Lepisosteus oculatus: one gene and its partners. The protein of the gene in region 1 purifies or fractionates together with the protein of each later gene. This does not show direct contact. Links are inferred from orthologs where the notes say so. Each region holds a gene or a part of one and is shown in the gene's direction. Other genes may lie near its edges. The genes, in order: tdrd3, fmr1 and fxr1.

Region 1 (7,972 bases):
TGAGCAGGTTTCCCACAGCTGGTTTGCTGCCACCAAGGGAAGGGTGGGATCTAGTAAGCCAGGGTCTTTCTTGATTCACTGTAACACGTCAACCCTCTCTCTCTGGTTCGAGGCCGTGTTCCCTGTTAAAGAGACATGATTTAAAGATAGGCAGGTTGGAGGAGTCTGCCTACTCTTTCTCATTCTCCACTGTACTCTATTTACTGTAGTGTATGTGTACATCTGTGAACAGAGGAAAACTATATCAATAATTGTAAAGGTTTATGGTGGCAAAAACATTTACACAGATTTTGGGAATGTTTTATACCTGTATTACTAAAATATCAATATACTTAATATTCTACATAAATGTAGAATAGAATCCTCTACTGTATAATAATTTCTTTTTAATAACAAAACTCTAATACTGACCATAGCCTGAAACATACCCATAACCCCAGGGTTATCTGCAGATGCAGATGCAGATCCATATTTAAAACTTTATAATCAATTAAATTTCATTAGAAAGTGCCATTTCACACCATGTATATCTCAATGTTATACAACAACATATAAAAACACATTATAAGCAGATTAAAAAGGAAGAAAATATTAAAATATGAAAGACTATAGTTAAAAGATTGTACACAACAATTAAATATTTAACAATATTTGCAGACAGTTTAAAACTGAGTTTCAAAAATATCCTTGTTTAATGAGTGGTTATTGTGACAGTGTTCGATCCTCATTATCTCCAGTATTCAATATTCAAGTTCAATATTTATTGAAAATAGAAACAACAATTAAATATGACAACAGAGAGGGTTCTGTTTATAAAATGTATTTTCAATACTAAATCTAAATTAATGTTCTTCTGAAAATAGGGACTAAATGCAGAAACATTTCAGATAAAAAGTTTGATTTTTTCCTTCTTAAAAAGGTAGTTGAATTTAGGTTCTTTGAGTGTTCATGGTTCTTTGTCACTCAGACAGAATTTAGTTGGAATAAAAACTCACATGTGCAAAGTTTCTCCAGGACCAGGTTTCAGAATCACTGTCATAGTGCTATGATATTAAATTAACCTTCTTCATGTCCCTTGTGAATTCATTATTTCTGATTTACAGTTTTCAATTGTATCTGTTTAATGCTAATAGATTATTACTTTCTTTTTAAGCGGCAACAAAAACTAAAAATATGTTAATAATGACCAGTTCATGATGAAAAGATACAGGCAAGAATAACAATGTACAGTACCAGACAATCCCACAGTAAATAAGTGCTTTTGCTTCTGCTTAAATCCAATTGATCACATTTCAGTTAACACACCTAAATGAGGGCAGATGTGAAGCTTAATAATTAGTAGATGATTGATCAAATTTATAAATCTCAATCAACCATTTAAGAGTTGAAAACAAAAGGGGTTTAAAAAATAAAAATTGAAATAAATTAACCTGTGACTAAGAACTAACCTAGAGAAAAAACAGAAGATAAAGCAGTCCCCAAGGACCAGGACTGAGAGATACTGCACTACATAATGAAAGTTCTTCGATTCTTCATCCAGTACAGCTCAATCTCTTGCACTTACTGTTTTCTAGCTGTCAGACTGCATACAAATTAGACTGCATTACAGCTTTATATGTTAACTATCAATCTAAAACAGCCACTAATTGTGTTGCTGTCAAATAGTTGAAAATAGTCCTAGTTCATTTTGATTGTCCTATTTAGCCCTTCCGTTACTTTGAGATTAATTTTTAAGTTGGTCATATTTAGGAATGCATAGATGGTAGAATCACAAAAAAAAAACACTAAATGATCTCGTTAAGTTTTATATTATTGTGGCTGAAGAGGACAGCCATGTTTCAGCAACCACAGCAAAATTTGCACTTACTGGTCTGATTGCTTACTCAGAAGGTTTGGAACAATTATTATTGCTGTATTTTTGCTGTCCTTGGGTCACAGATCCAAGAAAACATGGAGGAAGATACAGACAATTAGAGAGTGATCCTCAGGTTAATTAACTTCACTGTAAATCATTCGTACTTCCATATTAAAGAATAAACATTCCACGGTGAACATTCCTAGGAAGATCATTAAGATAACCTCCAGAGGAATGAACCATAGCATAAATAAACAGAGACAGAGGAAAGGACAAAGAAAAAAGAAAAGCAGACCTCATTACTTCATAATCATTAATGCTCATCATCTTCAAAGCTGAGCAAAGGGAGATATCCGTTTTCTAAGACATCCTGGAACCATTTGTAGTCCAGGTAATCTGAGTACTATAAAGAGTACCTGATAGGAGCATTATTACAAGAAAGCTTGCTCTTAATTGAAACCTGTGAACACCTCTGATTTCCCGAATGCTATCCTTGGTTCACCCCTTGTTCAAGACTGGTCATCTTCAACAGCTGACCTAGTCAGTAATTTTCGCACTGCGCTGACTAGTACTTTGGATAAACTTGACTTCCTTTAAACTCACTTAGTTTGCTTTAAGCATTCTCTCCATGGTATACACATGAACTTTGCTCTTTGAAACTGTCTGGATGGCATCTGGCCCCCTTAAATAAAAAGACAGCCTAGTGGTTCACACTCAGGCATGAAATAAACACATAATGTACATGTCTGTAGATCTGCTCTAGTTCCTGCCAGCTCATCCTACAGTACATTTTGGATACAATTAGCTCTGGACTATGAAATCATAAAGTGTTCTTTTTGTTATTAACAAGCTCATTAAATCCCTGACAATTCAGCTCTTTCTTCCATCCTTGGCCTCTGTTTTAGGTTTTTGCAATTTTTGCAAACATTTCTAACATCAAGGCTAGATTTCTGTAACTCCTTACTCTATCAGCTCCCTAACACTTTTCTCAATAAGTTTTAATATGTCCAAAACTCTGCAGCTAGATTTCTAACTCACCACAGACCCTGGCAGTATATCACTATTACACTTAAATCTCTCCATTGCGTACCTATAAACTCACATATCCATTATAAGATCTTGTTACTGACTTTGAAGGTTTTAGATAATCTGGCTCCATGATACTGTACATCTCCGAATTCCTTCATGTTTACACTCCCTCAGGCTTCATTCAGTTGAGGTTGGTCCTTTGCTCACTGTACCTAGGAGTAAATTTCTGACATTTGGTGACCACGCCTTTTCTTTTGCTGCTCCATTGTTGTGGAATGTGCTTCCTCCAACTCTTCAAAAGACAAATTAATTGACACTCTGCAAATCTAAACTTACTAACAGTTTATCCTGTATGTTCTTGGTTCATGTTCTTTTATTACGTTTTATACTATTTTTTCTTTTTCTTCTTTATCACTATGTATAGCAAAGGTATATTACAATCACAGCAGCAGCATGTCACAACATCACCTCCAGAAACGTCTATGGAGATCTACTAATAAACCACTACCAAGATATGGGATATTCAGTGAAATTTTAGTGAAATCATCTCTCTGTCCCTTTGGTTCCATGTCTTATTGCAAGCTGAATTGTACTTCCTGTTTGTGTTTTGTTACCAACCAGCCTGTAAACCTGAAACTGTCTGAATTGATAAATCAGCAATGCATTTTGTTGCTTTCAACAATGCACCAGAGACACATACAATTCCAGTCTTGCCACTTGTAAAGTCATTCACATCAGCCATCTTTGTCTTAGCACAACATATAAGGAAAGTGCTGGGCTGCTACTGCTTTACACTTCAGGAATCATGGGGGATACTGAATACTGAGCCATTTCCACTACAATGGATGTGATTGATTTCTTCTATGGAATATACAGTTCTCTAATATTTTGGAAAAAATTATGAAAGTGTTTTCAAATGTAGATGTAATTTTAGTCTTGATAGACCAGGATTTTAGTTTTATGTTTTTGTGCAAACTAAATCAATTAAAATACGAATTGGCATGGGAATGGAAAAATGAAACCTCTCATGTGTACACAGCAGTATGACTTTTTTATTTTACTAACAGCAAACTACCTTATTTTTACAGTAACCTAAATAAATACCATTTACCTGGTATACCTTGTTCACTATACTAATATAGCTATAGTAGAATGCACATTTTTAAACAGCTCCCTACTCCTTTTAATTTGATTTCTTATTCATATTAAATCAAATAAGCGTAACCCTAATTATGAAGAATTATAAAAAAAACACGTGCATATTTTAAGATTTTTAAATGACAACTTTGGGGAAAAGCCAAACAAATTATGTAAGATTTGAATTAATAAAATATATAGCCACACCCATTGTTAGGGAAAGATACTTAAAAAATAATGCATTACTGTTACAATTTTGTAAGGGATAACTTTTCATATTCATGTTTTAGGAAAATGCTTACAGATAGGTATTACATTTGTTTACGTAGTAACTATACCATGCTACATAGACCAAACTTTAAAAATATATATTACCTCAACATCTTGTCTATTTTTAAAAAAGTAATTATTTGCACAGGAATTTTGTAATTTAATAACACTTTTTCCAATACCGGCAACACATACACTTTATTTGAGAAGAAATATGTTTTACTTTAAAAAAACTAGTTACTGTATGGGTAATTGTTACTTAAGTCTCTCTGTAGGCTTTGAAATATATTCATGAAAAACTGAAAATCTTAAGACGTCCCACTTTTCCTGTATTTTTGCTCTAAGCCGAATACTGCGGTATTTCTTCAATAGCTGTTAAACAAAGGTAATCGGTTGTAATACGCAGGATAAAATCCAGAATTGACTTTAAAGATAGAAGTGTTTTTTTTCGTCAAAAAATATAAGAAGGAATTGCATAAAGGCTCTACTTATTCCACAAACAGAGATGGCGCTCTCTTGACTTCACCCATGAAAATCTACGTCACTAATCACGCAATGACCTTTCATCCCTGAACTTCAACCTTCGTCATTCTACTGTGGTTGTAGTTATTTTTTGTTGCATCGCGTAGATGACTTATTTTAATGTAAATATAAAACGTATTTTATGCAGTCAAAAAGTTTAACATCATTTAGGGGTCTTCCAAAGACTATATCAAACTGACGGAAAGTAGTGTTAAAAAGATCTGCAGTAAAATTTACTTAACACCCGTGTGTGTGGAAAAATGGCTGATATCAGCTCGGCTCTGTCCAAAGAAGGCTGGTAGGTAGCTCGTTTTCCCTTGTAAATTCCTAAATAAAATCCCTTTTCCAATTAAGAAAACAATAGAGGCATTTATTAAGTCTTTCTTTCAAGTAGAATAAATATTTAATTTATAAGAATCTTTTTTGTTGCTTATGCTCACTTTGGTAACGTGTAGGCCTAGAGGTGTTTCATTCTTGAAGAACAATCGATAACTTTTCAACTGCAGTTTGTATGAAAAGAAAACCCAAATAAGAATTTTATTTGATTTTGTGTCGTTATATGCATGTGCTTCATGTTCAACTTTAATGTGTGATATTATTTGTTCAGTTATTTTCCACTTTGTTGTTGGAAACAACCGTCAAACATCGGATACGTATCACTAGAATTTAACAACAAAGCAGTGGTAAATACTTGTATGATCATGTTTTCTAGCGATTGATTTCCGTTCATTTTTGATTTAAGAGAATCTCCAATACATTCACTTATTTGTTACCAAAAGATTAGTCGATGCATTATTTTGGTTATTTTAAAACATAGCGTTAGTGTTCCTTTGACTCTGCTATTAAGTTATTACATTTATGGTTGTTGAGGTATTTTACAAAAAAAAAACTTTTCACGGATGGTCACAGAATGTAGCTGAAGAATTGTTCAGTTCTTTCCAGAATTATTGGTATTATTTTCATTTTTTTTTTCACACGTAAAACGGTAATGATGTGGTCTTTATATCATTTATTTATTGTAAACGTGAGCTAGTTTTTGAACCTTCACTTGACTTCGTTATGCTAACAGTATATACAACTTCTATGACCCCGATTTTTGTGAAATCCATATAGTTGTTGAAGAATTTCTCTGCTCATCAAACTTTTGGTGGTAAGTTATTTGTCAATCACATTATAAAGAAAATAAGATTTATAATAATAATAATAATAAACTTTATTTTATATAGCGCCTTTAAAGGTGGCTTCTCAAAGCGCTTTACAGGATGACAATAACAATAAATAAGAAGACTACAACAATAAATAAGAAAATTTCACAAGACAGGACACAATTATAATTACAACAATACAACAATAACAATAGAGGAGACCGTGGAAGATGGTATTAAGAAGAGCAGAGGGGTGAAGAATGGAACCAGTTAAGTAAAGGCTTTTCTGAAAAGGAGGGTTTTGAGTCTGGATTTGAAGGAGTTTAGAGAAGGTGACTCTCTAATATCCTTGGGCAAGGAGTTCCAGAGCTTGGGGGCATAGCAGGAGAAGGCCCTGTCGCCCATACAATGTAGACGGGCTTGGGGGACAGTAAGGAGGGCAGAATTTGAAGAGCGGAGGTTGCGAGGTGGGGAGTAGGGCGATAAAAGTTCAGACAGGTATTGAGGTGCCAAGCCATGTAAAGCCTTGTAGGTGAGCATGAGGATTTTAAAGTCTACGCGGAATTTGACCGGAAGCCAGTGCAAGGACTCCAGGATAGGAGTAATGTGAACACTTGCACTAGATCTGGTCAGGATTCTGGCTCCTGAATTTTGGACATACTGCATGGTAGAGTCACATAAAACGGTGGTGTTTTTCAAATTAGTCTCGTTTCCTTTGCCGTTTTGAATAAATCTTGACGTATTTTTAATTGTGAAATTAGCTGGGAGTATTTAAAGGACCTCCCATTGCAAAAATGCCTTTGGAACACATGAGGTGCCTTTATCGTAGCTTTATTTTGCAGCATTTTTGTAGAAAATAAACGGATCATTTTTTCCAACATACAACTGTTACATAATTAAGTCATGTATAATAGAAAAGTTAGAATACCTTATGTTTTGTTAAGATGTCAAAATTGTAGTCGTTGATTTCATGCTGTTCTTTATTCTCTAAACTGATTACACTTTTAATAAAGGTTGATACTACTGTTGCATGGTTGTTTAACACATTCTGACTTTTAGGATTTACTCACAAATCTTTCTTTTTACTGAATTTTATAAGAAGAAATGTGACATGTACATGGCAGTTGGACTGTTATGTTTTGAGGATATAAACCTGATCTCATACAGAAATCATTTCATGTTTCTTTATGAAATGAGAACTTCTGAATATTTTGCAGATTTAAGTACATCTAAAATCACTAACAGTTTACTCCCACTAGGTGATGCTACTGTAATTCCTTATGTAGAACTAATTGGATACTGGAAAATGATTGTGTAGATTGGAGAAAAATGTATTAAAGAGGTTTAGACATGTTTGGAAATGTTATGAATCAGCTGGAGAAGGTTTTCCTTTTCATAAGCTGATTGATCATTCTGATGATTTGTGAATCTTTTTTATTTTCTTTATTTTTTGTACTACTCAGGTGTTTTAACATTCAAAACAAGTGATCTTTTTGCATTTAAATATGTTTTGATTATTTTGCCAGGGTGACAATTGTGAAAATAGTGCTCACTATTAAACAAGTGACCAGCCTTTTTAAGGTGTTTATACTACTTTAAAAGTAACATCTTCAAACAAATGGAGTTTTACTGAAATTGCCATTATGGAAACATTGAGAATAAAACCTTATTTGGAAACTGAGGTATTATTTTTTTTTCTTTTGTTCCCTTACAGGTATCTTTCTGATGAAGGAATAGAAGCCTGCAAAAATTCTTGTGAAAATCCTTCCATTAATGACATAATCCGTATCGCATTAAATGTAGGTTTGTTTTACACCTAGTGTATCAGTGTTTTCCTCCTGCTAGAGAGAATAACACATGCTTCTGAGTTTTTATCTACAAATAGCTTTCATTGGACTGCAAGTGTGTTTCATTAATAACCCTGAGAACTCTGGTCTGAGGTTTGACTGTGGCACTACTTGACTTTAGTCTGAGCTCCTAAAGGATGGAACAAAAAACATGTAAACATTTGCAA
Region 2 (8,012 bases), on another chromosome or scaffold:
TAGTTTTATAATACTTTTGAACTGAATTGATTCAGCTATTGATTTAATTACCCTGCTTCATCATGGCTTCCATCTTCTTAGCTATTGAGAACTTTAGGTTAACTATTACACATTCAAGACTATATTGAATAATATGACTCATGCATTAAAATTTCTGAAATTTCTGCATTGCTTTGTACAAAGACAACATGATGAGAATTTTTTATTGTGAAAGGTAACTGAAAGTACAATGCTCTTAACAAATTTCTACTTTAATCTTCTTCGTTCGCACAGAAACACCTAGAAAAGGTCAATAACCTCTCTGTAGTGATTAAATCAAGCTTTGGAAATGAAATTTTCCTTCAGCATTAGAACAGTTTATGAACACTCACCTTTGAAAAACACTGTATAAAAAAAATAAAATATAGAAAAGCATTAATTCATATATGTTGTAAAACTGTTTTTACATTTCTAGAAACACATCACTCTAAAAGGTGGCCCACCTTGTGCCTCCTGAGAGTTGGTTCAATCTTGTTCACTGACCCAGGCCTATCTTGGCAATGAGCAAGAGAGCCAAGTTACATTTAGTCTAATTCACACAGAGGAGCAATTAATGGTTCTACAACTTTTGAGAACATTTTAAACTGGCTGAAAATGCAAAAACTCAGTAAAGAGTTAAGAAACTGCAGCCCTCAAAAGATCATTAACTGTTTCAATGAATTCCCCAAAAATCATGCCTATCACAAGAAATAAATGAAGAAGAATTAAAATACCAAAAGTTATTTACCACAAGAGATGAATCATAATTATTTTGTACATAGATCCTCATGTTCTTCTTCCACAGGAGCTTCAACTGTGACATTCAGTAATTCCAGTAACTACGGCTTAAAGTCCTGTTAAAACAGGCATGTGCGTTGACAACCTAAGTATTGAGTTTATACAAATAATGTTATGCAAATTACTTTCCAAAAGCATCTTTTATTTCTTATGAGTAATAGAGATCTGTGCCTATTTCAATAGGTATTTGCTGCTGTTTATTAAACTGAGTGCAAAATAAACCCCCATTTATAGAATTAATGTTGTGGCAATAAGACACTTATTTCATATTAAGAAAGGGCTAATTCAGGTCTGTTGAAATTATATTAAACGTTTTGAGTAAATGTATTTCTCTTCAATTCTGCTCTTAAAAAATACAATAATAAAAGAAAAATCAAGAGATCCTTGCCGACTTATTTTCTGATGAGTTTATACTGACATCTAGTGATTGAAATGTGCAATTGAATCTTTCTTTATCACAGAAAACTAAACAGTCAAGTACAGGTTTATTCCAAGCTGAAAACAGAAGAAAAGAAACACCTGAAACCCAAAGAAGGCTCCCCATCTGAAACGTGTTTCTTTTCTTTTCTTTTCTTTTCTTTTCTTTTCTTTTCAGCATGGAATAAACCTTTACTTGTTCTTTTGCAGACTACGCATGCTGACACAGCTCCATACTTGAACTAGTTTAGAAAACTAAGAGTGCCTTATTGTCGTTTTGTTCTAGACATTGCATTGCATGGCTAAAACAATCATCAGCACTAGTTTTGGATTTTATTATTATCATTGTTGTTATTATTGTTATTTTAACAGGAAATGCACTCCATCCACCATTGAAGTACAACATCTGGATGACACACTACACTATAAAACTGTTTCACCAGTTGCAACGAGGGGAAAATTTGGGGAGTCCAGAGCAGGATCTAGAGATAAGATAAGGTCACTTTATTGGCCATATACAATTTTCTTGTATTAGGAATTTGTCTTTTTCACAGACCCCAGCTTGTTCCCCAGGAGACACACAGACAGGGAGAGAAGCTTGGGGTCAGAGCGGAGGGTCAGCCATTTATACAGCACCCCTGGAGCAGTTGGGGTTAAGGGCCTTGCTCAGCAGCCCAAGGGAGTAGGATTCCTCTGCCAGCCACAGGATTTGAACTGGCAGCCTTCCAGCCACAGGCGCAGATCCTGAGCCACAGTGCCACCGCACCGCCCACAATCTAGTAAAGCCATTGGGGTTAACACATCCATTCACACAAACAGCACCCTGGAATATGTCATGATAAAATAGTTAGGACCTCGGCTTAACGTTTAATCTGAGGGACGGCAATTCCTGCAGCACAGAGTCCCCAATTAAAACACTGTGGTTCTGGTCTGGAACTGTAGGTGCTGCTCCACCAGCTTCTGTACCACAGCTGGACAGCAGCTGTCTGGTTTCAATTCCAGTACTGACCAGCTCAGCCACTGAGCTCCAGAACTCTGGTGAGATCAGACTACAGGCTCATCATGCTGCTTGTGAAAAATGTATACTGTACGTCCCCTATAAAGAAATTATAAATTTAATCTAATATATTTAAGTGACAGACTAAAAAGTGAAAATGGGTATCAATTAAGTATTAATATTTCCCTTTAACATATATTTAGTAATTTGTCTGAGACATCAAGTTCACTAAAAAAAAACTTAGGAAGGGGAAAATAGTTATTTTTTCTCATTATGACAAAAAATATATATTTCTGTACATGAGTACTATATCATAAACATGTGCATTTACTTTACATCTGAAATGTAAAGATTAAAACATTTATTTTAAATTTGTGTTTCCCAGAATATTATATTTTCTTATTGTTTTAATTTAGAATTACTTTTATTTTTAAACCAACAGGCAAAAATCCAATGTTGTGCATCCAGCTAAAAACAATCATACTTTGTGAGTCATCCCAAAACAAGATTCTGTTGAATCATTTTAATATCAGCCATGGAGACAGAACACAAAATTGCAATACATTAAACATTAGTTCATTTATACGTCTTCCTATACTAAATATATATATATATACTATTTATTGGGGGAAAGTATGTATATATTCTAGATATACAGAGCATGGACATATATTAAGTACTTGTATGTGTCAGCTTCTTGCTGAAGAGTGGAAATCGAAGTCATAAGAGACACAGTCAGGTGCGCTCCAGGCTTGGCCAGGCAATAAATTACTCTGGTACATTCCAAGAAGTAACACATCTTGGAATGACAATAACTTACTTTCCCTTCTTGTTAAAAGCACGTACATTTATTGCCCCTTCTGGCAATGTAACATTTTCCCAGCGTGTGACACACTCAGCCCTCTACTGATATATTATTACCTACTCCACCAGGAGCGTGGCTTAGCTGCTCTGATGCTCACACCCTGGAGGCTGAAGCTGGAATAGTTCCTCCCCGTTCCAGATCCCTTATCTGAGAGATTGTGTGCTGCTGTTCAATTTGTATAACACTCTGTTCCGCTTCTTATTATAAACCATGTTCTGCTTATATCAGAAAAAAAAGATAACAATATGCCTGTTAATAAGTATGTTTAGTTGCTTGTGAATAATATTTAGTACATTTATTTTAAAAATGTTTTTATTTGTTGTTTAAGAGTTTATTTAAATATATTTTCTGTTCTTGGCAAATATATTTCTTTTTTGGATATTGCGGTAGTATTACTCTTCTAATTCAGACACATTTTGTTACTAAAGAAAATGCATTTATAGAACAAATGCACCATGACCTACAGTACCACAAGCAGGAGAGACTTTTGGAGGAGAAAATAAGTATGTCAGCTTGATTAAAAGTCTGCTGGCATATCGTGGGCAACACCATGCCTCCACTGAAAGGAAGCTGGATCAGACACAGGACAGCTTTGTGTCACTGTTCTCAAAACACTCCGAATTTAAAATTCAGTTTTGTTAGAGTCTGAGTGCAAGCTTCCTCACTGAACACAAAAGAGAGCAAGTCTTACCAAGCTTTCATTCATGCTCTCTTGTATTATCACTCTTGTCAATAATTGCCATTACAATATTCAAAATGCAAATGGTTTTATTATAGGAATAAGGAATATCGGTATTTTCCTTCTCCCCAGACTTTTCCGGTCTCCCCAGACTGCCCTGTCTCTCTCACACCTGAAGAAGGCTCCACGGCCAAAACGTTGTGTTCTCTTTCTTCTTTTTTTTCAGCATGGAATAAACCTATTACTTGTTCCTTTTCCTTCTCTATACATTTTAAAATCGACACAACAACAAAAGGCTCTATCTGTAGAGTTATATCTTGAGTTTTGTTGCGTAGTTTGGTTCTCCTTTTTGTTTTTAATTTAAGTAAAGATATTAATTTAATTCCAGTCCCTGTCTACATTTCTAATGCCCCATCTACAATGGGACAGGCAGCTTGTCCTGTTTTTTCTGTTTTCTAATGTCTTTTCACCCGTCACCTGCCGCAGGGCTCTCATGCTTTGTGAGTGGAGGCAGGCTGCATGCTCGCCTGTGCATGAGCTTTGTCTTCACAGCACATCCTCTGATGAGGACTGTGGGGAAGTTCATTCTAGTCACCCTGAAAGGTTTATTTTTAATCGTTAGGAAATCAGTATTGATTCCAGTGTAGGCATTGTACTTTACGGTAACTAAAAATCTACAACAATTAGGTTAAACGGATCCGAAAGCAAGAATGACATGTTTTAAATGCAGTGCACCTGGTCCCCTGTATCACAGTAATGCTGCTGCTCTCCCGCACGCGGGACGGGTCTCCCCAGACGCCGGGTTGTTGTGAATGGGACACACCCAACTAAAAATTATCATTGCCATAGCAACCGTCGGCCAGCAAGGCCTCCCTCGTGAGTCAAAGTATTGGAGAGGGGACGTCTGGTCAGTGTTCTCAGCTTTAATTGGCTGGGTTTCGGACGGTGGAGCGTTCCGTAATCTGATTGGTTCCTAACGTTGTCGGGTTTGCCCTCAGTTGAAGGAAGCCATGAAACTGGCGCCATTTTGACTCCATTCAAGAGCGACATGACGTAACTGTGAAACGGGAATAGAGTCAAAATGGCGACCCGAAGGGACTCAGTTTCTTTGCTCGGATGGGAACGAGGGGAAGACGTGCATCCCCGGAGCGCTCCCTGATCACGTGTCGGGGGCGAGGGGGGGCTCTTGTGTTTACATCAATGCGCTTAGGAGCAGCTGGTGCGAACTGTGCGAAGAAAAGATATGAATGTTTCACTTTCATTTCTTTAGAAAAAGTGGGGAGAAAAACACTCTTGGTTTCGCAGCAGTGAGAGGCAGACTGACGGAGAAGGAGAGCTGCAGGGGGGGCGTTTCTAGGGACCGAAGCGACCCGCTCGCCGTTTTTGCATTTAATTGCAACAGTCATGGAAGAGTTAGCTGTGGAGGTCCGAGGAACAAGTGGAGCCTTTTATAAGGTAGGGAGATTAGCAAAGGCCTGGTCCGCGCTAGCGGCTGCTTTGTTGTCATTTTTAACTCAGCTGGCGCTTGCTGGCGATCGTGCAAAGGTGCGGGCCAGTGGGGTCCTCTGTGTTGCACTCACATCTCAAACACCCGTGTAGGCCCTGATCCGGCAGAGCTGTGGATGCTAGACCTCAGACAAGGCCCGTCTCTCCCGCTGTTTATCGCCAGGCGCACTCAGGATGGACGTTTTTGCAGCCCTTTTTCTGCAAAAGGGGGATTTAAGTTACAAAATCGGACTCATTCCCCCCAGCCAGTCCTCCCATTCCAGGGCGCTGAGCTGATGGTGTTTAGTCGCTTCAACGGAGCGCAGAAACCCCTCGACGTGTCGTTCATTATTTCCACCTTATAATGATGCAGTATTTCATGCGTGTGGAGTCCATCACATTTTACTCACGGCTTCATTTATTTAAGTTTCACTCTTTATTTGCCGCTTTGTTACTTTTCATGTTACAATGTGGGGGAGTTGAATCAAGTTATTTTTCTAAAAGTAAAGTGTCAGTAGTGCAACAGCTTGGACTACAACCGGTATAAGATCATTTATCTTTGTAATGCAGTTTCAACAATGCATGATTTATTTAATATACACCACATCATGCATTTACTGTGTCTGCATGAAAATGTGCTGGTGTTTTAAAGGCGTCTCTTCTGTAACATGTGCATCGCACCTACGTCTGTTGGTGAAGCCACGCTCTAAATCGGCGACTTTAGCTCCATGCTCTGCTTCTGTTAACTAAAGAGTTTTAAAGAGAGTGAACTGCAGTAGTTGCCTTTTTGCCAGTGGTGTCCACGCTAATCCATAGGAATGAGAACTCGAATACCAGCGCGGCAGCTGCATTAGGCTTTAAGAGCCGCAGGGGCTGCAGTGTGGAGTGGATGTGGAATTGTCTCCTGTCGCTCACACTTGACGCTCGCTCACACGCAATACATGCACGTTAACGTTATAAGTCAGAACTGAGCTTCTGGCGTGTTTTTAATTGAATTCTCATGCTTTTCTGTTGGTGCTTGATAGAAACGACTGTACTGTTATTGTTGCGAGCAGCGGTTGTAACCCGTGGTTAAATGGTTTTCTGGGGGCCAGGGAATAAAAGGAAGCTAAAAAAACTTTTCTCTCTCTAATATAAAGTTTTCAGAGTTTCACAATTGTTGAACCACTAATATTAAAGTATTTTCTGTAGTATATCTTCTTGATATATCAGTTCATGATAAAACAAAGGCAAAAGAAGACCACTGTCCCAATACACATAGGCTGTCAGTTTTCAGCAGAGCATGTCAAGACACTGTAAAGCTGTTACATTGCTACATTTATAAATTTCAATAATCTGATAACTGATGTTGATACAATGATGCTTATACATATAGAGCAGTGGTATCTTAATTATCATGTCATGCTGTAAAAATGATATAGAGCATATATATTTTTACTTTTCATATCTGTATGCAACATTGTCCTACAACAAATTTAAAAAAAAATGTACAAAGAAAGTATTAGTGCTTTAGTCCAGTGGTAAGACACAGAGGAGCCTTGTCTTTTGATTGAATGTCAATATTGGTGAAACTATTTCCTGAGAATGCTGTTAATTAAAAAGATGGTGTGTTGTCATAACTATTATCAATACAGTTTCATCTTAAGGGGTGTAGTGGTAGAAGTCTAAAAACATTTTTAAAACCAAAGAAACCTCAGTGGACAAATTTGTGAAACCCATTTTTTAACCAGCGATGAAATGTCTTCTTTCAGGCATTTGTGAAGGATGTGCATGATGATTCTGTCACGGTGACATTTGAAAATAAGTAAGTAATCTGTAGTTTCACAGTGCCACTTTGGTGTAGCTGTCATGTGTGGAATGAAGACATCTTCATCTTAGATGCAGAGGAATGTACTGAAAGGCACAATTTATCTGGAGATTTTCTAAAAACAATTATCCATATGCTTTAGTATCCCAATGTGTTAAAGGCAGTTTTTGCATCCTAACACAGCAACAGGATAAAGCTTGTGTAAATTGTTTTGTTATGAATGTGTTTGTCAGTAATGTGTATAAAAGTTTTAAATTCAGTGTTCAATGTGAGGAAAAATAATAATAAAATACTTGACTATTTTTATCAAGATTTAAGAAAGGTCTGTATTTGCAACATATGTGCACTGCTAGGATTGTTAAATTAGTTCTACCTGTGAATTTGTTTAGCTACTTTCATTTAACTACATTCTATAAAAATCTTTTGTGTTTTGTGCCCAATTTTTTTTGTTTTAATTGTATACTACATGCTTAAACACAAAATTCATGTTGATTTCTGAACCTGCATGTTAACTGATGTTTCTTTTGAGTTTTTAGTGACGTGTCTGTATTCTATTGCTGATTGAGTAATGCAAACACCAGTATTTTATTCTGTAACAACAGCAAAACTGTAAAGTAGAGCAAATGAACAAAATTCTTTGTATAAAGTATTTAGTTTAATGCACTTAGTACTTACAAACTATTTACTTAGTGTAATAACATAGGCATACATGCATGCTGTTGTTCCATTTATTCTGCAAAGGATAACTGTACAGGCTTTGTTTTCTCTTTTCTTTTATCATTATCTTCACACTGAGTTTGCAATTGGAATTCTCAAGAGAATCCAGCCATGTATAGAAAGAACACCTGTATTCTTAAGTTTTCCAGTGCATAAACGATGCCTCTTGAACACCTGTTTATGAGGTTACAGTTTTTCAAAGTGTGCCTTGAGCAAGTGCATTGGTTAT
Region 3 (8,148 bases), on another chromosome or scaffold:
GACAAACCTACAATGAGTGATTCTAGAAACAGAATAATTTTGATTGGACAATACTAAAAAACTAAGGTTTTCAATGATAAAATGTTCTATTACAAAGTTGCAGTAACAGCTGTCAAAGACACCGTTTCTGTATCCATGTGTATTTTCTGAAATGCTAGGGAAGATGAAATTCAAATAGAAGTGGCTTAACTCAGAGAACAGCTCTACTATATATCTGATTACTAGACCAGTAATTTCTTCCTTAAATAAGAAAAAAATACTAGTGGGATAAATGAAATTTTCCTGTCATATTGCAGTGGTGGTACCATGGAAGATTACTGTATTTTATAATCATTCATCACTATCACTGGTGTTCAGGCTTAGCATAATAGACTCTGTAAACTGGTTTAAATGTGAGAGTGAGGATGTTGTGCTTGGCCATAACTTCTGGTATGATAATGGCCTTTGAGACGTTTCCCGTGCTATGCATTTCTTATTGATGTGATTTAGGGTCTTCAAATATATATATATGCTGTATTCACAACTCCATTCCAAAATATTAGAAACTGGTGTGTTGCACTACATAAAATAGGAGTATAGGAGTGACCCAACCTGTCTAGAGTAGTGGGAGTGATCCAGCACATCCTATGTGCAGTGAATTCTGTAGAGTCTAAAGTGACATCATCTCTGTTGGTGTGCTCCACTAAGCAAGCTGATATAAGAGCCCAGATTTAAAAGGTATTATTGTTGGTGCATTACTAAGGGCAGGGGCAGACCTGGCTCACGTTTCAGTTCAGATAGCCTCAAAGCTGACTGGGGTTGAAAGATAGAAAACAGCCAGGCCTGCAAGAAGCCACTGAACCAAACAGATAGTTAGCAGTGTTAACATCTTGAGAAAAGACCACAGAGTGCAAGTGCTACCATATTAGTAGGGGCATATGAAAGTATGTAGAAGACTTTATTAAGTGATGTGTCACACTTACAATTGCCACTGTTAAGACTATTCTCTGGTTTTATAGCACTTCACTATTTGTTTGTTTAAAGTATGTTTATGCTCAGAGGCATTAAGATGCTATAAGTTACAATACTCACTAATGAGTTTTTAAATTATCTTATATTTAACAGTAATGTATTCCATGGTGTACTATTTAGTGAGGAACTGTGAATGACACCTCTGCTGTGCTTTAAAAACTTTTAAGTTATTAGAAGAAACTGAAGTAACAAAATATGCACCTTCCTCAGTTGCACAGCGTCTTCAGTAGAAAGAGGACCCATTAGGCTGTCCCTGACTCCTAAAGCACAATGGAATTTGAGAGAAGCAGATTTACCATTAATAGGCATAAGATGCTGCATTAACAAAGTCTTCACACTCACTGGTTGTAAAGTACTGACTTTATTCCAATAAATCAAGGAAAAAAAGAAAGTACATCATTTTACTATTAAAATTGACAACAGTGTTTGAATTTTAAGATATTGCTATGGCAATAATACTTAATAAGTCTGAAATCCATAATCTAAACACAAGATGCATTTAACTAAATTTGCTTTTCACTGCTCTCAGATATGGTTTTTATATTTTATATTTACCTGCAGTCCAGTAATCACTTAGAGGTTATTATTTTTTAGTTAATGTAAACATAATTAATAATAGTAAAATCTTTTTTATTTTTTTTTGTATCCTATATAAACTAATTTTGACACGGGTTTTCTAAGATCATAAAGCATTCACAGACCGGTGTTGGAATAATTTGACCATTTAATCACGTTAGCTGAATTCCGCTGTAATATTTACCATGCACGACAGGTGGCAGCACTTCCATTCGCTTTTGTGTTTGTCGGCGCAATAATAATCGTTAAAGAACGTGAAAGCACCTGAATAAAAAATAATAATGTATATTCCATTAAACTTGTTTTATTCGATCATATTTACAATAAAATTAGGACATATAATAAGTTCCCCGGTGTTCCATTTATCAATCGCAACGTCTTTGAAAAACTAATCTCCTAAAATGATGTAAAAAGAAAAATCATCATATCGCATGTACAGGAACGGGTAAAGGTTTATTCCACGCTGAATGGAAAGAAAAGAAACAGAACTTTCCGGCTGTGGAGCATTCTTCAGGTTTGTAATTATTTATACAGGTATTATATACACAGAACAGTGCAGTGCTATACTGTGTAGTCCTGTAGTATTCAGTTTGTACTATGCTAAAGTGTACCGTAAGCTGTACGGTGAGTATACAGTACATACTGCGTAGTACTGTGCTGTGTGGTGTATATAGTACTTGTTCAGTGTTATAATAAGTATTTATTGTACTGTACATGGATGTACTCTGTATGTACAGTACATCGTGCAGTACTGTACAGTATTGTGGGTATATTTCTTTGTGAAGACTGCATTGTGCATTGTTGTACTGTATGTATATGCACTGTGCGGAGATTTACTCTGAGAAGTGTTTTACTTTGTGCATACACATTGAACAGTGAGGTATGCTGTGCAGTTTTTTACTGTGAATATACTGTACATTGCATATTGTTGTACTGTGTAGATATACTGTGCAGTGATGTGCAGCCATTTTCATTACACAGTGCGAAAAGGTACACAAGTGTTGTAGTGTGTGTTTACGTACTGTGCAGTAATGTACTGTGTCTATATATACACTAAGCAGTGATGTACTCTATACAGTGTTGTTCTGTGTGTATAAAGCATGCTGTGTAGTGTTATAAAGTGTGCAGTGTTTTACTATCTGTATACATGCTGTTTAGTAATGTACTGTGTGTTTATATACTGTGCAGTGATGTACTGTGTATATACAGTACAGTGCAGTCCGTAAATATCTGGATAGTGAAACGTTTTTTGTTGTTTTGGCTCTGTACTCCAGTACATTGGATTTTGTTAAAGTGCAGAATGTCAGCTTTAATTTGAGGGTATTTAAGTCTATATTGGGTGAACCACATAGGAATCACAGTCCTTTTTATACATACTCCCCCCATTTTAGGGGACCAAAAGTAATTGGACACATTAACATAATCTTAAAATTGTCATGTTTAGTACTTCGTTCCAAATCCTTTGCAATCGATGACTGCCTGAAGTCTGCAAGCCACAGACATCAGCAGACACATGGTTTCTTCCCTGGTGATGCTCTGCCAAGCCTGTAATGCAGCCATTTTCAGTTTCTGCTTGTTTTTTGCCTTCAGTCACGTCTTCAATAAGTGAAATGCAGGCTCAATGGGATTCAGGTCAGGTGATTGACTTGGCCAGTCGAGAACATTCCACTTTTTGGCCCTGAAAAACTCCATAGTTGCTTTAGCAGGATGTTTGGAGTCATTGTCCTGCTGCAAGGTGAAATGCCGTCCAATGAGGTTTGAGGCATTTGGTTGGATCTGAGCAAATAAGATCCCTCTGTACACTTCAGAATTCATCCTGCTGCTGCTGTCTGCAGTCACATCATCAATAAAGACAAGTGAGCCAGGTCCACTGGCAGCCATACGGTACATGCCCAACCCATGACACTACCTTCATGTTTCACAGATGAGGTGGTATGAGCAGATCCTTTTTTTCTCCACACTTATTTCCTTCACTCTGGTACAGGTTAATCTTCGTCTAGACTGTGTAAGACTGTGTCCCAGAACTCTACTGACTTTATTATTTGCATTTTAGCAAACTGTAACCTGGCCTTTCTGTTCTTGAAGCTTACAGTGGATTGCATCTTGTGAACCCTCTGAGGTTATGCTGGTGTATTTTTCTCTTTATGGTATAGTCTTTGACACATCCATGCCTACATCCTGGAGGGTGTTCCTGATCTGTTCAATGGTCGAAAAGGGTTTTTTCTTTACAATTGAAAGTCTTCTTCAGCCATCCACTACTGTGGTCTTCTGTGGTCTACCAGGTCATTTGCTAAGCTCACCAGTGCGTTCTTGCTTCTTAATGTACTAGATGAGTTTGACACACCTAATGTCTGGGCTATGTCTCCGATTGATTTATTCTGATTTTTCAGCCACATGATGGTCAACTTCACTGGCATTGACACTTCTTTGGTCCTCTTTTGCATCTGGAGCAACAGACTCCAGATGCAAATGCCACATCTAGAATTAACTCTAGACCCTTTTTCAGCTCTCTTGTGCATGAACTAACATTGCAATGACACACGGCTGGCCAAGAAACAACTGAGCAGCTAATTGTCCAATTACTTTTGGTCCCCTAAAATGGCGGGGCTTATGTACTGTATAAAAAGGACTGTGATTCCTATGTGGTTCACCCAATATAGATGTAAATAGTCTATAATAGTATATAGTAATAGTGGTGTACTCTGTGCAGTGATGTACTGTGTGTGTGCATGCTGTGCAGTGGTGTACTCTTTGCAGTGATGTACTGTGTGTATACATGATTGCAGTGATGTACTGTGTGTATACGTGCTTGCAGTGGTGTGCTCTGTGCAGTGATGTACTGTGTGTATACATGTTGAGCAGCGTTGTACTCTCTGCAGTGATGTACTGTGTGTTTACATTCTGTGCAGTAATGTACTGTGTGTATACATGCTTGCAGTGGTGTACTCTGTGCAGTGATGTACTGTGTGTGTACATGCTGTGCAATGATGTGCTCTGTGCAGTGATGTACTGTGTGTGTGCATGCTGTGCAGTGGTGTACTCTGTGCAGTGATGTACTGTGTGTATACGTGCTTGCAGTGGTGTGCTCTGTGCAGTGATGTACTGTGTGTATACATGATTGCAGTGATGTACTGTGTGTATACGTGCTTGCAGTGGTGTGCTCTGTGCAGTGATGTACTGTGTGTATACATGATTGCAGTGATGTACTGTGTGTGTACATGCTGTGCAATGATGTGCTCTGTGCAGTTATGTACTGTGTGTATACATGTTGTGCAGTGATGTGCTCCGTATGTACACTCCACTCTGCAGACGCACGGTGCTCTGTGACGGTGTAAGTTTCTAGAATGCTTTCCCAGAGTACATTGCGTGGCCAATATGGAGGAACTGACGGTAGAAGTCCGTGGCTCCAACGGAGCTTATTACAAGGTAAAAACATTCAAATCATTCCGATAAAATAAATTATCTAAAAAGGAGAAGAAAGCTTTGTGTACGGAAATGTACAGGTTGTTTTCACGGGATTGTTCTTGCTAAATAAATCTGTAAGAAAGTGCCTTTGACGAGGACACAAAAATGTCTGATCTTTTGTCAGTTACATTATGATTTATTTACATACTCACGTATATATGCATTTTTATATTCTAGAGTTTGATAACCCATATTATGTATTCAGTCTGGAGATATATATTTGTAAACTTAAATATTTGAACTTTTTTGGACTGATATATTCTTTCCCTTGTTAATACAGGCCTATCTCAGGTGTTATTTAATAAGGATTAATATTGTTCGTTATATTGTTACGTTATTCATGTTGACAAGATCTTTGATGTTTTAATGGTGGGCATAGTTTTTAATATTTTATACAAAATGAGTGGAACACGATCAGCAGTCACTGTGGGATTTGTAAGTACTGAATCCGTTGACTTGCTCAGCCTGGAGGTCTGGTGAGTTTAAGAGAAGTTTTATAAAAGTGCAGGAAGATTCAAATGTGTTGAGAGACGCACCTGAAGCGTCCGTGTATCTCATTCCCTTCATTTGCACGATGATGGGAAAAGGACATTTCCATTCCTTTGTTCCATTAGTCTTGTTAATATGCCAAAGTCTACTAAACAGTAGCTGTCAATAACGTAACTATATTTTTGTTTTTATAATCCAGCTCTTAGATGTGCCGAATCTTTTTAATAAGGGCCTTTTCGTATTTCTGAAATAAAGCGTGACAGGTCTAACGACTGATATGTGTTTAGGTTGGGTCTAACTGTTGTTAGGGGAACTGATTATGATAAGCACTTGAAGCAGAAGAACCCGTTCTGATTCTAATACAAAGGAATCTCCCTTGTCGTAAGAATGGAAGTTGAAGGGAATGTCATTTACTGCACACTGGGGGTGGTGGAGGGGATCCCCATTACCTGTAAAGCAGTTTGAGTGGAGTGTCCAGAAAAGCGCTATATAAGTGTAAGCAATTATTTAAGATTGGAGGCCTGGTTTATAAAATATGTGGCACTGCATGCAGTTAAATTCACTGAAGAGTTTGTCTTTATGTGACTTGAAAACTATCTCCTGTGTTCATATGAAAATGCAGTGTTTAGTTTAGCGGTGTCTTTGATTGTGAGCTCTCTGTTTGCTTCTTCTGCATGTCATTTCACTGTTGCGTTTGACTTGCATCACTTTTGTATCTTATATGTAACAAGTAGATTATTGTACTGTCGACTCCTTAAAAAAATCAGGCTTATACTCTAAATGTAATACTTTGTGCCTTTTACATTTCTTAATTTCCTTTTCCTTTTTAATTTTGTTGTACATAAGCACTAAGATGTGTGATTACTAGATGTTTAGGTATTGACAGCTGTTACTGTCTGTTGAACTAACTTGTTCAGTCCATGGTAGGAAAATACATCTGTTAATAGTATTAAGTAGTTATTGTATCATGCTGAAGTTATTCCTAGAATGTCACTCAATCCCAGAGCAATATGTGGTCTGACAGCTGTTCACTGTCAATCTTGAGCTGTTGTCAGGTTCAAAGGATAACTTGGAACTCTGAGCTATATTTAAAACATGGGCTTACACATAGCTAGTTATGCAAAAGACAGATGCTTTTTACTAAACGCAAATATTTCTGTTATGTTTTCTTTTTTTAACTTTCTGTAGGTAAAGTAATGACTTATTACAGTATGACTTAAACAATATCTGAATATAGTGAAAAAAACAGCAGTTTATGTAGTTTCAAAGTAGAACATTTTCACAATCAGATTATTATAAAATATAATGTAATGTATAATATAATTATATAATGTAATATCATGTAGTGCTTACATAAGTAAAATAAAAAAGCTATGACAGATGGAAAAGAAAAAAATAGTTTTTGGAGAGAATTAATGAGAAGAGTTTAGTGGTGTTAGTCTCTGGAATTTGTCCTTTAGCAGTCATGCTGTTAACCAGCACCACTTTGCCCTTTGTACTTGTGTGGGTATGCAAATCCTTCTCTAACACAAAGCAAAAGCATCTCTTAAGTATCTCATTAAATGATGTGATTCTTGTTTCATGTAAAATATGTTTCTTCTATTGAAGAAAATGATAAACTGTTGTCAACAGTAGATATGTGATTTCAGACATTTGTTTCTTCATGTATTCTATTTAGACATTTACATAACATCTGTACAGGCTCCTTTCTCCAGTGTTGTAATGAAATATGTTTAAACACATTTTTATAATGCTTTTTGTGCTGCCTTAGAGAACCATCTATAAACACATTGGTTTAGAAGGTTGACATAATTGGAAAAACTGTCAAGGAACTGGATCTAAACTGTCATTTACTTCAGTAGTGTACAGCAGTGGTCTTTAATTCTGTTCCTTAGAGTCTACTATGGGGGATTTTGGTAAGGTTATTGAACTAATTATACATTTAACTGGGTCAGTTTTAGTTTTAAGGTCTAAGACAAATAATGAGTTTAAATAATGAGTTTGTCTGCTTTTTCCAAGGCGTTTAAAAAGTTTGTTTAAAAAGTATTAATATCAGTTAACTTTAAACATCAAATGTAAACACATTCTATTACATTTTGTACATTAAAATAGTATTGCGTGGGTATGCACATTGGATGACTAACAATAACTGAAGGCAGTTAGGATAAATCTGGAAAATGTCATTAAGATGTAACTTGAATTCCTTACTTATGTTTTAGGGATTTGTCAAAGATGTCCATGATGACTCACTTACCATTGTCTTTGAAAATAAGTAAGTATTTTAACAGTAATTTCGTGTTGGGTTTAAAAAAAAAATCATAACCAAGCTGCTTTGGGAAGAATTCAAGACAGGAAGCTCAGGATTGATCAAGCTGGAAGTGGCTCATTTTCATGCTTCTCAATTTTGCTTTGTGGAATATAAATACTGCCTTCTGCATTTGCAAGCACCTCAGAATGTGCTTTCTGGATCGGATTCTGGCAGGGGCTACTTGTTGGAACCTGTCATGATAACTGATTTGAATGTACATTATGCTTTATATAAAAATAATGAAAGAAATATGTGTCTGAAAGATGTATTTTTATTGTTTTAATGAGAGATCTTAGAAT

The links.
Region 2: the proteins of tdrd3 (region 1) and fmr1 purify together in Homo sapiens (affinity purification with mass spectrometry; 4 studies listed by BioGRID and IntAct, with this or other methods). This does not show direct contact. The link is inferred for Lepisosteus oculatus from reciprocal best matches to the Homo sapiens genes TDRD3 and FMR1.
Region 3: the proteins of tdrd3 (region 1) and fxr1 purify together in Homo sapiens (affinity purification with mass spectrometry; 3 studies listed by BioGRID and IntAct, with this or other methods). This does not show direct contact. The link is inferred for Lepisosteus oculatus from reciprocal best matches to the Homo sapiens genes TDRD3 and FXR1.

The regions. Positions count from the first base shown.
Region 1 is NC_090710.1:14,134,560-14,142,531, reverse strand, and holds the start of tdrd3 (tudor domain-containing protein 3), read left to right. Parts: upstream 1-4,865; 5' UTR 4,866-5,073; coding exon 5,074-5,111; intron 5,112-7,672; coding exon 7,673-7,757; intron 7,758-7,972. UniProt on the Homo sapiens protein: Scaffolding protein that specifically recognizes and binds dimethylarginine-containing proteins. Plays a role in the regulation of translation of target mRNAs by binding Arg/Gly-rich motifs (GAR) in dimethylarginine-containing proteins.
Region 2 is NC_090703.1:53,148,880-53,156,891, forward strand, and holds the start of fmr1 (fragile X messenger ribonucleoprotein 1), read left to right. Parts: upstream 1-4,936; 5' UTR 4,937-5,178; coding exon 5,179-5,229; intron 5,230-7,010; coding exon 7,011-7,063; intron 7,064-8,012.
Region 3 is NC_090708.1:168,995-177,142, forward strand, and holds the start of fxr1 (RNA-binding protein FXR1), read left to right. Parts: upstream 1-4,904; 5' UTR 4,905-4,962; coding exon 4,963-5,013; intron 5,014-7,760; coding exon 7,761-7,813; intron 7,814-8,148. UniProt on the Homo sapiens protein: mRNA-binding protein that acts as a regulator of mRNAs translation and/or stability, and which is required for various processes, such as neurogenesis, muscle development and spermatogenesis.